Saccharomyces cerevisiae S288C: one gene and its partners. The gene in region 2 interacts genetically with the main gene of each other region. Each region holds a gene or a part of one and is shown on either strand. Other genes may lie near its edges.

Region 1 (3,432 bases), on a different chromosome or scaffold from region 2:
AACGAACATCGAAAATACCATCCCATATATACCTTACGTGGGCATGTCCAGCAATAGGAGCGATACAAGAAATGGAGGTGGCAATAACAACAAACACACTAATAATGAAAAACTGGGCAGTTTTAAAGGAGATGATTTTTTCAAAGAACCATTTACGAACTGGAACAAGAGCGGATTGAGACAACTATGCACGGATCAGTTCACGATGTTCATATATCAGACCCTAACCGGCCTGAAGTTTGTCGCTATCAGCTCCAGCGTCATGCCCCAGAGACAGCCAACTATAGCCACCACCGACAAGCCTGACCGACCCAAGAGTACATCCAATTTGGCCATCCAAATAGCCGACAACTTCCTAAGGAAGGTTTACTGTTTGTATAGTGACTACGTCATGAAAGACCCATCTTACTCAATGGAAATGCCTATAAGATCTAACCTGTTCGACGAAAAAGTCAAAAAAATGGTAGAAAACCTACAATAGACGCACGCGCCATCGGAAGATAAACGCATTCACACCAAGAAAATAAATACTACGTACTTCTAGAACTAAGAAGAAGTTGCCGCTCTCCGTCTCCTCCTTCATAAATAGGGATAGCTTTTACTACTACGTACGAAAAAAGACCACACTGCGACGGATCCTCTGCATCCCAACACCAGCGATAGAAAATGCGCCGCCTATATCGTCATCTTGCTTCCTTTTTCTTACTCCCTTCCTGCCCTGGAAACACCATACAATCCATCACATCATATCCTGCCAATGCACTATTACGCAGCTTTCGGCACGTGAGTACGGAAACACCAGTTCGGAACCGGGTACACAATAGGGATAGTCAAAGCTGTCCATTTTTTCCGCTGATGGATGACTGATACCAAAGTGTAACCCAAAAGGGGTAGTCGATCCTACTTTTACCAGTTACGTTAAAGGGACCAAAACGTGGGGAAGGGATGCCGCCACCACCACCGCCACTACCCCCGCCAACATGGCCTAACTTAGCAGTCCTCGCTTGTGTATCTAGGTCCGCGTCCGCTAATTCGCGCGGCTTGCCACTTAACCCCGTCCAGTTAATTTGCCAAGCAGCGGCCGCACGTTGGAACGTTTTCGCCGATTTATTTATTATTATTTATACATGTTGACGTTGGTGCCCTTTTGTTTATACTGGAGCCTAAAACGTACCTCAATTAAATTTAGTGTGCCATATTATAGTGCTATTAAACCTTTATTTTTATTTTTAATTTTAAAACTGCTTTGGTTCTCTCCCTCCCTTACCGTTGCCACCTTAAGACTCACTGATATTTATTCATACTTACAAGTGCTATAAGAAAAGACTTGATTTATTAGCTTTACAGCGTTTTTACATTTGTGTCACTGCTATTATATTTTTGTTTACCTCTTTTTGTTGCTGGTGTTGGCGCTACCATTGTTTTTTTGTTTTATGAGTTACGTTTACAAAAGTTCTTAACATTTACTGTACGATAATATACTAAGGTGAAATACTAAAGTAAAATAAAATAAGAGAAAGAAAAAAAAAAAAAAAAGAAAAAAGTAATGATGATGTTCCATAATTGCAGAATTAATAACTACTTAATAACTTCTCAAATTGGCGAAGGCGCGTACGGTCTGGTTTACCGTGCCTTAGATATTCGTACCGATAGACAATACGCTATCAAAGCGGTTGTTCAAAGTTACGGTGTTAGCAAGGAGGCTGATATGGGCAATGATAAAATACACAAAAATAGCGTGAAATTGCAAAAGAAGCTCGCTAAACTGTTCAAGGAATCGAAAAACGTTGTCAGGGTGCCCTCTATAGATCTAGAATCAATTGAGAATATGTCAGAAGAAGATTTTAAAAAGCTGCCCCATTATAAAGAGATTTCGCTACACCTAAGAGTCCACCATCATAAGAACATTGTCACCATACATGAGGTGCTACAATCTGCAGTCTGCACGTTCATTGTCATGGATTATTACCCAACAGACCTATTCACGTCTATTGTAGATAACAGACATTTTGTCACTAATGGACTGCTAGTAAAAAAGGTTTTTCTACAGATCTGTTCTGCTCTTAATTATTGCCATGAGCACGGCATCTACCACTGTGACATCAAGCCTGAAAACTTGCTACTGGATACAGAAGATAACGTTTTCCTATGCGATTTTGGTCTATCCACTACTTCCACATATATAAAGCCAAATGTTTGCATTGGTAGCTCGTATTATATGCCCCCTGAAAGAATCTCATTTGATGGGAGAGTTTCCAGCTCTAAAAGTGGGGGACATAAGTTGGGTAAGGTTTGTCCCTCATGTAATGGCGATTTGTGGTCATTAGGTATCATCCTTATCAATTTGACATGCATCAGAAATCCCTGGCTGAAGGCTGACAAAACCGAGGATAATACCTACTATTATTTCACTAAGGATCCCAATATACTAAAGCAAATCCTACCGCTTTCCGATGACTTTTACTCATTATTATCTAAGATTTTACAAGTGAATCCGAAGAATAGAATGAGCTTGCAAGAGTTGATGAAAGAAGTTAGTTCTATTACAAGCTTCACCAATGAAGGCCCGTTATCAAAAGTGCCGCCTCTTTCCAAGTCTGTTTATGAAAAGTTCGTTAGCCCCGTCGATAACACGAATGAGAATTTGTCTCCAAAATCCTACGTGTACATGCACGATAGTAAAGCTGCCAAGAATTTATCTTATACATCTTCAAGTGAGGAAGAAGATGGAATCAAAGAAGGGATAGACGATGATAATGGCAGTCGCAGTGGCAGTTTCGGAACGCTAGACACAGACACTGGATTGCATTCTTCGTTCACAAGCACTTCTTGCGAGTCCGATAACGAATGTTCTAAGATTTCCAACAAATTTTCCTTGTTCGAAAAAAAATTCAACGAACTTCGCATGAGTTCCTCTTCTTTAACTAACTAACCCCCTCCTTTTTGGCACAAAAGTGTACTACACATCTGTTTTAAGCCCACAATTGATAGACCTTCTCTTGATGATCATCTGTTTTCCCGAAAATATTACTTGCCAAAGCAAGTTGTAGTTATATTCACACTTCCGTTATGACCCCCTCATCCGTTTAATGTTATTTGTTTTTATGGTATTCCCTTTATTCATTTTTTTTCTTGCTTTTTTTTGTTGATCCCTGTAACCCCTTTTTTTTTTTTGGAAGTTGCTATTATTATTCATTCACATTTGTTCTGTCTTTGTTAATTTTCCAGGTCACCGTATTTAATTTCTATATAACTGTTTCTAATATTTACTTCGTTTTATCCAAGCGTTATTTACTCAATATTCAAAACTTTACTTTTTACCACCTGTATAACATCTTTTTCAATTTGATAAAACGTTTTGAAATCTAAGGGAACAATGTCACAGTCAGTTTCGTCGTTGATGTCTGGTAACTCCAGATCCCTGAATTGAGA
Region 2 (3,234 bases):
TTGGCTTAGTTGTGTTTCTAATTCGTTTTGTTTCTCTTTCCACTGGTGCTGGTGCTGGTGCTGGAGTAGGTTCTGCGCTAGTTTCATCAAAACCTTCCACTACGGCCTTTGTATCTTCTTTTTCCTTGCTAGTGGCGTCTGCGCCAGCGGTATTGTTATTGTTGCTATTATTATTATCGTTATTGCCATCATCATTGTCGTCGTCATCGTCTTCCCCAAGGTTCATCAGGTCCAACTCAGAGTTATCGCCTTCCACTTGCACACCCCATTTCTTCATTTGCGAAGTGACCAAATCACCGTAGGAAGAACATTTCTTGATCACAGACTCAATTGCATTGTAACCTCTTATACTTTGGGTGATTTTATCGAGCAGCCTCTCACTCTCATTGGCGGATGCAGCCGCACGTCTTTTTCTCTTGTTCGATGCGTTCTCCTCAGTGTCCTTATCATTGAAATTTGTGTTTACAAAGGCATTTAAAGAAGAATATGGCCTATGTGAGGCTATGAGTTGAGCCTTATGCATCGTGGTATCTGAGAGGTCCGAGAGATCGACAATATCAGAGTCATTAATAAACTGTAAAACTTGTTCATCCAGATTTATCTGCGGCGTGGATTCTGTGTAGTCGTCGCCACTTGCATCGTCATCGTCCGTCATCATACTCTCTTCCTCCTCTTCATCGTTGTCGTTTGCATGACGACCGTATTTGCGGTTCGCCAGTAGTTTCTCTCTTGCAGAACCTAATTGTGTAGCGGATGACTCATAAGACTTGCCAATTGGATGCTGATCTGCCCTTACCAGCCTTCTCTTTTTGTTGTAGTTCACGGGCAACTTGCTCAGTGCCTCCGAGTCTATATTCAAGTTAGTTGGCAGCTCAAAAGTGTATTGTTTCTGGTTGATGACGTTTGAGTAACGGTCAAAAATGGACGTTTTCTGTTTGGCCACGGTAATCTTGGAGGATTTGTTGTTGATATTGCCATGGATAGATGATAAACGGCCTGTGTTTGCCAGTGGTAATGACTTCTTGACAGGTGGCGGGGTTTCTGACTTCTTGGGAGATGCGTTCTTGTTCCATGTCCAATTTTGTCTTTGCTGCCTCAATCTTGTAAGACGTTCCCTGGCAGACTGTAAGTTAAAAGAGTTAGATTTGAAAACAGCCTGCACCAGAGTTTGAGAGAAATCGGGGAACTCTCTCGCAAGGTTAACCAGTGCTACCTCAGGACTCCCAGATGGGAGCGGCTTCGAAGTATGAGCTCCTTCGCTGGGATCTGAAGGCTTGAAAGTAAACCTGCTTCTCAAAGACGCCACACTTGCATCCGGAACTGTTGGCGAAGTAGGCTTTAAGGGAGACGACGATGCTACCTTGGTGGGAGAGGACGTCTCGGGCACTTGCACTACGTCATCCTCATCATTTGAATGCGAACCACTCATGTTTTCAACTATAGCGTATTTTCTCTCTTTTTCTTGTTTACGTTCCTTACTGTAGATAGTCGGGTGTCCACCAGTAGCAACAAACTCGAATATAGAGCACTATAGCACACGCCAGTACTGATTTAAGTTACGTGTTGCATTGCGAGATGGGCTCATGATCTCTTTTAATCCTACAAAGTGAAAAATTATGAAAAATTTCGCGGCGACGGGGGTAACGCAGCCGTTTGAGCCTTGATAATGCAGGCAGATCCAAAGCGCAAGTGATGGAATGTGATCATTAAAGGCTATAACAGGCTTGTATCGATGAGTTGTGTGTATGCGTTTGGGTCTAATGGGCAAAGGCAACTGGGACTGGGGCACGATGAGGATATGGATACCCCACAGAGGTCTGTGCCAGGAGATGATGGAGCAATAGTCAGGAAGATAGCGTGCGGTGGGAACCACAGCGTGATGCTGACAAATGACGGGAATCTGGTAGGATGTGGAGATAACAGACGGGGAGAACTGGATAGTGCGCAAGCACTGCGGCAGGTGCATGACTGGAGGCCCGTGGAAGTACCGGCACCCGTGGTGGATGTGGCGTGCGGCTGGGACACGACAGTTATTGTGGATGCTGATGGCCGTGTATGGCAGAGAGGAGGCGGTTGCTACGAGTTCACTCAGCAACATGTGCCATTGAATTCCAACGATGAGCGCATCGCAGTATACGGATGTTTCCAGAACTTTGTGGTGGTGCAAGGCACCCGAGTATACGGCTGGGGCAGCAACACAAAGTGTCAATTGCAAGAGCCCAAATCCCGATCACTGAAAGAGCCCGTATTGGTGTACGATACCGGGTCTGTGGCCGTAGACTACGTGGCCATGGGCAAGGACTTCATGGTCATAGTGGACGAGGGCGGCCGCATAGTGCACGCATCCGGTCGCCTGCCCACTGGGTTCGAGCTCAAACAACAGCAAAAAAGACACAATCTAGTGGTACTGTGCATGTGGACCTCGATCCACCTGTGGAATGCGCGCCTCAATACGGTAGAGTCGTTTGGTAGGGGCACACATTCCCAACTCTTCCCGCAAGAGCGCCTAGACTTCCCTATTGTCGGTGTTGCAACCGGGAGTGAGCACGGTATTCTAACTACTGCTAATCAAGAAGGCAAGTCTCACTGTTACAATGTATACTGCTGGGGCTGGGGAGAGCATGGCAACTGCGGCCCGCAAAAGGGCTCCCAGCCTGGACTGCAGCTCGTGGGCCAATACTCTGGAAAACCTCGCGTGTTTGGCGGATGTGCCACCACGTGGATCGTGCTCTAGCACTGATAAGTAACTATATACCCACTATCATATACATAGATGTCCATTCAGCATTAATTCTCATCGTGGTAGATCTCAAAGGTAAAGTAGCCGTTTAGGCCTTTTGTTATCGCCCGTACTTGCGAAAAACGGGCCAACAACGAAAAAATTTGAAAAAGTTTCCACCTTAGAGAAGGTTCTCAAGCACAAGGGCACAGCATAAGGGACACCAGCAAGGGAACTCCGACTGACGTTATCCCTGCAAACTACCGCTAATGAACGACCCTTCTTTACTAGGCTACCCTAATGTGGGCCCGCAGCAGCAACAGCAACAGCAGCAACAGCAGCATGCCGGGCTACTAGGAAAGGGTACACCAAACGCTCTACAGCAGCAGCTACACATGAACCAGCTCACCGGGATACCTCCACCGGGACTCATGAACAACAGCGATGTACACACTTCCAGCAACAACAACTCGCGCCAGTTGCTCGACCAATTGGCTAATGGGAACGCGAACATG
Region 3 (4,711 bases), on a different chromosome or scaffold from region 2:
TTTAATGGACTCTTCGCCAGACAAGCCACCTTTAACCATGTATTTTTGGCGGGCACTTGGGACTTGGGTCAATTCCTCTGCTTTGCTTTTCAAATCTGCTGAAGTAGCATCAGTGGAAAGTGTTATTGGGTAAACTTTACCAGAATGTCTAATATTGAACTCAAACGTTTCTCCGCTCATATTTTAACACAAGGATAGGTAGGGCTAATTTCCTTATTTTTATATCCTCTTAGAGAACGAAATCTCGTATTTCAATTGCACCAATTACTTGCAGTGGCAAAATTCGAAAAGCACTTCACCCTTCTTGTAGATTTTATGTTTTATATTAGCCACTACTTTTTTACGTAAAAAGTGATACATATACCAATGACCCAGAATGCCCAGTTAGGTCAATTAGATTCCAATACAAGTAGTCAAAAAAAAAAAGTATCATGGGGCTATGAATGCATACTTAATTTAGGCTTCTATGGAAAATATATTCTGAGGTGCTTCCTAAATAATCAATGCTTTTTAACCACACCTGCAGCATCAGCAGACTGCAAGATGTAATCTCTATAGTCGTAAATTGTACCTTCGAACCTCTTGACAGTACCTTGCTCTGAAACCCAAATCTCTTTACAAACAGAGTCAATAACAGAGATATCATGGGAAACCATTAAGACACCACCGTTGAAATTTTTCAAGGCTTCTACCAAAGCGTCTAGACCAGTGGTATCCAAATGGTTAGAAGGTTCATCCAGAACCAAAATGTGTGGATTATTTAAACACAATGCAGCGAATGCTACACGAGATTTTTGACCACCGGATAATAATTGCATCTTTTGTAGACCCAGGGTACCAGTGATACCAAATGAACCTAGATGACGTCTATACTCTTCATCAGTTTTACCTGGGAAGGATTTGGACATCCAGTCCACTGCAGACGTGGTCAAATCCATAGAATCCACATGATGTTGAGTGAAGTAGCCTATACGTAATCTTGGGTTTCTTGATACAAAGCCTTTTAGTGGTCTTAACTGCTCCATCATAATCTTCAACAGTGTAGTCTTACCACAACCATTGGCACCTACAAGGGCAATTCTGGAATCCATTTGAACGTCCAGGTTAACATCTTTCAATAATAGGTTGTTTTCATCATAACCAAAGGAAACGTCTTGCAATTGGATAATTGGTGGAGACAATTTATCACATTCAGGGAATTTGAAATCAATGGTTTTGTCTTGTTCAGGTGGCTCCAAAACGGGCAATTTTTCCAATTTCTTAATTCTTGATTGAGCTTCCTGTGATTTGGCAGCATTGTATCTGTATTTGTCAATAAACTCTTGCAAGTGCTTTCTGTAAACCATTTGGTTATCATACTCACGTTGAGCATTCTTTCTACGTTCCTCCTTTGTGGTGTAAAAGGTATCGAAATCTTGGCCTCTGTAATAGTCTAGTCTTTCGTTGTGTTGATAAATGATATCTGTAGCCACTTCATTCAAGAATGCACGGTCGTGAGAAACTGTCAAAACTGTATTTGGATATGTTTTCAAATACTCTGCTAAATAAGCGATGGATGGCACATCCAACATATTGGAAGGTTCATCTAACAACAAAAGATCTGGTTGACAGAATAAGGCTCTTGCCAAGGACAATCTCATTCTCCAACCACCGGAAAAGGAATTAGTGGGTTGTTGCTGTGCCTCCGTACTGAACCCCAAACCATATAAGATTGATGCTGCCCTAGCTTCAGCCTTGTCAGATTCCATATCGACTAATTTGTCAGAAATCTGTATCAAATGGTTATCCAAGTCTTCTCTTTCATTGTCCAATTTTTTAACTTCTAAACTGTCTTCTTCGAATTCCTGTCTTAATACATCCATTTCCTTTAATCTTTCATTGATCTTGGCTTCTTCACTTAATAGTTGTTTTCTCCAAACGTCTGCATCCAGCACACTTTGTAAAGCCTTTGTATCATCACCTCTTAACTCTTGTTCCACGTGTAAAATCGAAACATGTTTGGGGACGTTCAGCTCTCTTCTAGATAGAGCCCTTAACAAAGTAGATTTACCAATACCATTTTGGCCCACAAGACCATATCTGTGACCAAAACTTAGAGTCAATTGGGCGTTGGACAAAATTCTTTGACCGTCACCAACGTACAAGTCGAAAGTGTCAATATGGATATCCTTGGATTTACCAGCGGATGAACCGAATTCTAAAGGGTTGATTTGCAAAAAGAAAGAATCGTAATCCTCCTCCTTTTGGTCATTGATCAATTTAGAAGCCTCGTATTTAACAAATTTGTTATTTCTCTTGGCGACTTTCTTTGCGATCTTTTGTTCAGCCTTGGCCAGTTTTTTCAAATCAACTCTTGTTTCCATCTTTCTACCAGTATGTTCGATGTCACCGTTCACACCCAGCATGCTTAATGAGACGTTGATATCGGATTTACTGTTATGACTCTTTAAGACATTAATATCAAGTAATCTCTTGGACGTATCACCGGTCAATTCCAATTTGGCTTCGTTCTCCTTTAGTTGAGTAGTCAATTGCTTCAAAATACTTTCCGATAGTTCTTTAACTTTAGCCTTTGACGCACCCGCATCAATCAATAAATCGGACACAAATTGCACTTCAGTGGACAAATCTACCTGCTTACTTTGAACAGCATCAAAAGTTATTCCGGACAAGTGGTTAAAGTAGCCCACTGCGTAATCCGTGACGATAGGGTCAATACTAGAAGCAGCTTTTCTCACTTGCGAACCGATGCTTGCCATTTCAAAAAAGTTATTTACCTTTTGTGCTATGAATCGAAGTTAACGTTTTAGCGCTTCAAAACGACTAGTCTTAGCTAGCTTACTGCAGAATATATATTTCTCTTTTCAAATGTCTTTCATTTTCTACTAGATCTAATAATACGAAAAATTTTCAGGAACAAAAAAATAAAAATCAGAAAAAAAAGAAACTGCGCAAGCCCGGAATCGAACCGGGGGCCCAACGATGGCAACGTTGGATTTTACCACTAAACCACTTGCGCTTGTTTTCTTGTGAAAACTATCCTTGGATAAATCAATAATAATGTTTGTAACTTCTCTAACCAATTTGAGATGTAACGAATGATAATTAGTGTGTTGGAATAAAAATCCACTATCGTCTATCAACTAATAGTTATATTATCAATATATTATCATATACGGTGTAAAGATGATGACATAAGTTATGAGAAGCTGTCATCGAAGTTAGAGGAAGCTGAAGTGCAAGGATTGATAATGCAATAGGATAATGAAACATATAAAACGGAATGAGGAATAATCGTAATATTAGTATGTAGAAATATAGATTCCATTTCGAGGATTCCTATATCATCGAGGAGAACTTCTAGTATATCCTGTATACATAATATTATGGCCTTTATCAACAATGGAATCCCAACAATTATCTCAAAATTCGCCAAATAGTCAAGTATTATAGCCTTGATCAATAATGGGATCCAATAATTATTAAACTATTCACCCAATCTTCACAGATCTTCTAGTCAACGAGGGAAAATCCATATTTCTAAATAGTATTATTTATCCTTGCACTTCAACTTCCATTGAAGCTGATGATTGTTTCTTAATTTTCATGTTATCTTCTGGCAGCGTATATGAGATTATACTAATTATATGAAAATATATTAATAGTATAGATACTAATCGGTAAACGATAATCGACTCTCATCACAACAAAATGCTTTTGCAAATATTGAGGAAATTATATATGTTTATTAAACATATATATCCTGTGTATTTATAGAGGCTTTCCTCCAACATTTTATTATTTTTGGCAAATAATACAGTAGCTTAGGATATCTTACGCACGCAACTGCAGGAAAAGAACGTCAAGACATTCTGTGAGTTGTTTTCCCGCAAAATGTTCCACCGTCGTTACTTTTTCAATTTCATAAACATATATCAGAATGGAAAAAGCCTTCATAAATGAGCTTCGAATTTTTGCGCAATCTCGAATATAAGAAGCATGTATATTTGTCATCTTGCTTTCATTGGAAGCAAAAGGGCAAAGTTTCAATCTTGTGCATGTAACCTCAGTAGTAATCTATAAGTGTGAGATATATCTGTCAATTTTTGCAGACCATTAACATTTTCCAAATACATCTTGAACTCTTCATCTTCGAGGGGAATTGTCTCCGTCTGGAATTTCTGCCTAATCAATTTGATAGTCTCTTTATGATGCATTAGAATGTTTCCTCTTAATTGGGCGACAATGTAATTTAAAGAGTCTTCGGAGTAAGACAATAAATCCATGGATTCAAGGGTTACCTGCTTGGATTCCTGTAAACTTTTCCGGAGCATTGAATTTTGGCGCTTCAACACTCCTAGCATAACGTCATCTTTCGCATTTTCATCCAGATTGTTGCTTAGTTGCTCTTTCTCAGTAATAGGAGCTTTCCCTCTTTGTTCTAGAAATCTATTAAATAATGCAATATTTTCCGTGGTATCGTGAGGTTCTTCAGATGTCTCATACTTGTTTAAGCTTCCGGATAATATGTCTATGTTCCTTAGTATTTTCGCCTTTTCTGCTTGATTTTCCCTCAACTGTTTCACTAGCTTGTTAACTAACAAGTACATATGATTCAAGTTTTCTGCTTGAGGAGACATATATACTTGCTGCTGCTGCTGCTGCTGCTGTTGTTGTTGTTGCATTGACAAAACGTTGATTTGGTCACTCA

Evidence for each region. A genetic interaction does not mean that the proteins touch.
Region 1: mutations in ATS1 (region 2) and VHS1 together harm fitness more than expected from each alone (negative genetic interaction), as found in Saccharomyces cerevisiae (3 studies listed by BioGRID).
Region 3: mutations in ATS1 (region 2) and GCN20 together harm fitness more than expected from each alone (negative genetic interaction), as found in Saccharomyces cerevisiae (2 studies listed by BioGRID).

The regions. Positions count from the first base shown.
Region 1 is NC_001136.10:954,467-957,898, forward strand, and holds VHS1 (putative serine/threonine protein kinase VHS1), read left to right. Parts: upstream 1-1,546; coding exon 1,547-2,932; downstream 2,933-3,432. Other genes in the region: TRAPP subunit TRS23, read left to right, coding at 1-481; YDR246W-A (uncharacterized protein), read left to right, coding at 667-867; YDR248C (gluconokinase), read right to left, coding at 3,292-3,432. UniProt on the Saccharomyces cerevisiae protein: Probable serine/threonine protein kinase involved in the G1-S transition.
Region 2 is NC_001133.9:113,114-116,347, reverse strand, and holds ATS1 (Ats1p), read left to right. Parts: upstream 1-1,732; coding exon 1,733-2,734; downstream 2,735-3,234. Other genes in the region: DNA-dependent ATPase FUN30, read right to left, coding at 1-1,429; CCR4-NOT core exoribonuclease subunit CCR4, read left to right, coding at 2,989-3,234.
Region 3 is NC_001138.5:160,536-165,246, reverse strand, and holds GCN20 (putative AAA family ATPase GCN20), read right to left. Parts: upstream 2,760-4,711; coding exon 501-2,759; downstream 1-500. Other genes in the region: ubiquitin-specific protease UBP6, read right to left, coding at 1-180; FAR7 (Far7p), read right to left, coding at 4,047-4,711. UniProt on the Saccharomyces cerevisiae protein: Acts as a positive activator of the GCN2 protein kinase activity in response to in response to low amino acid, carbon, or purine availability.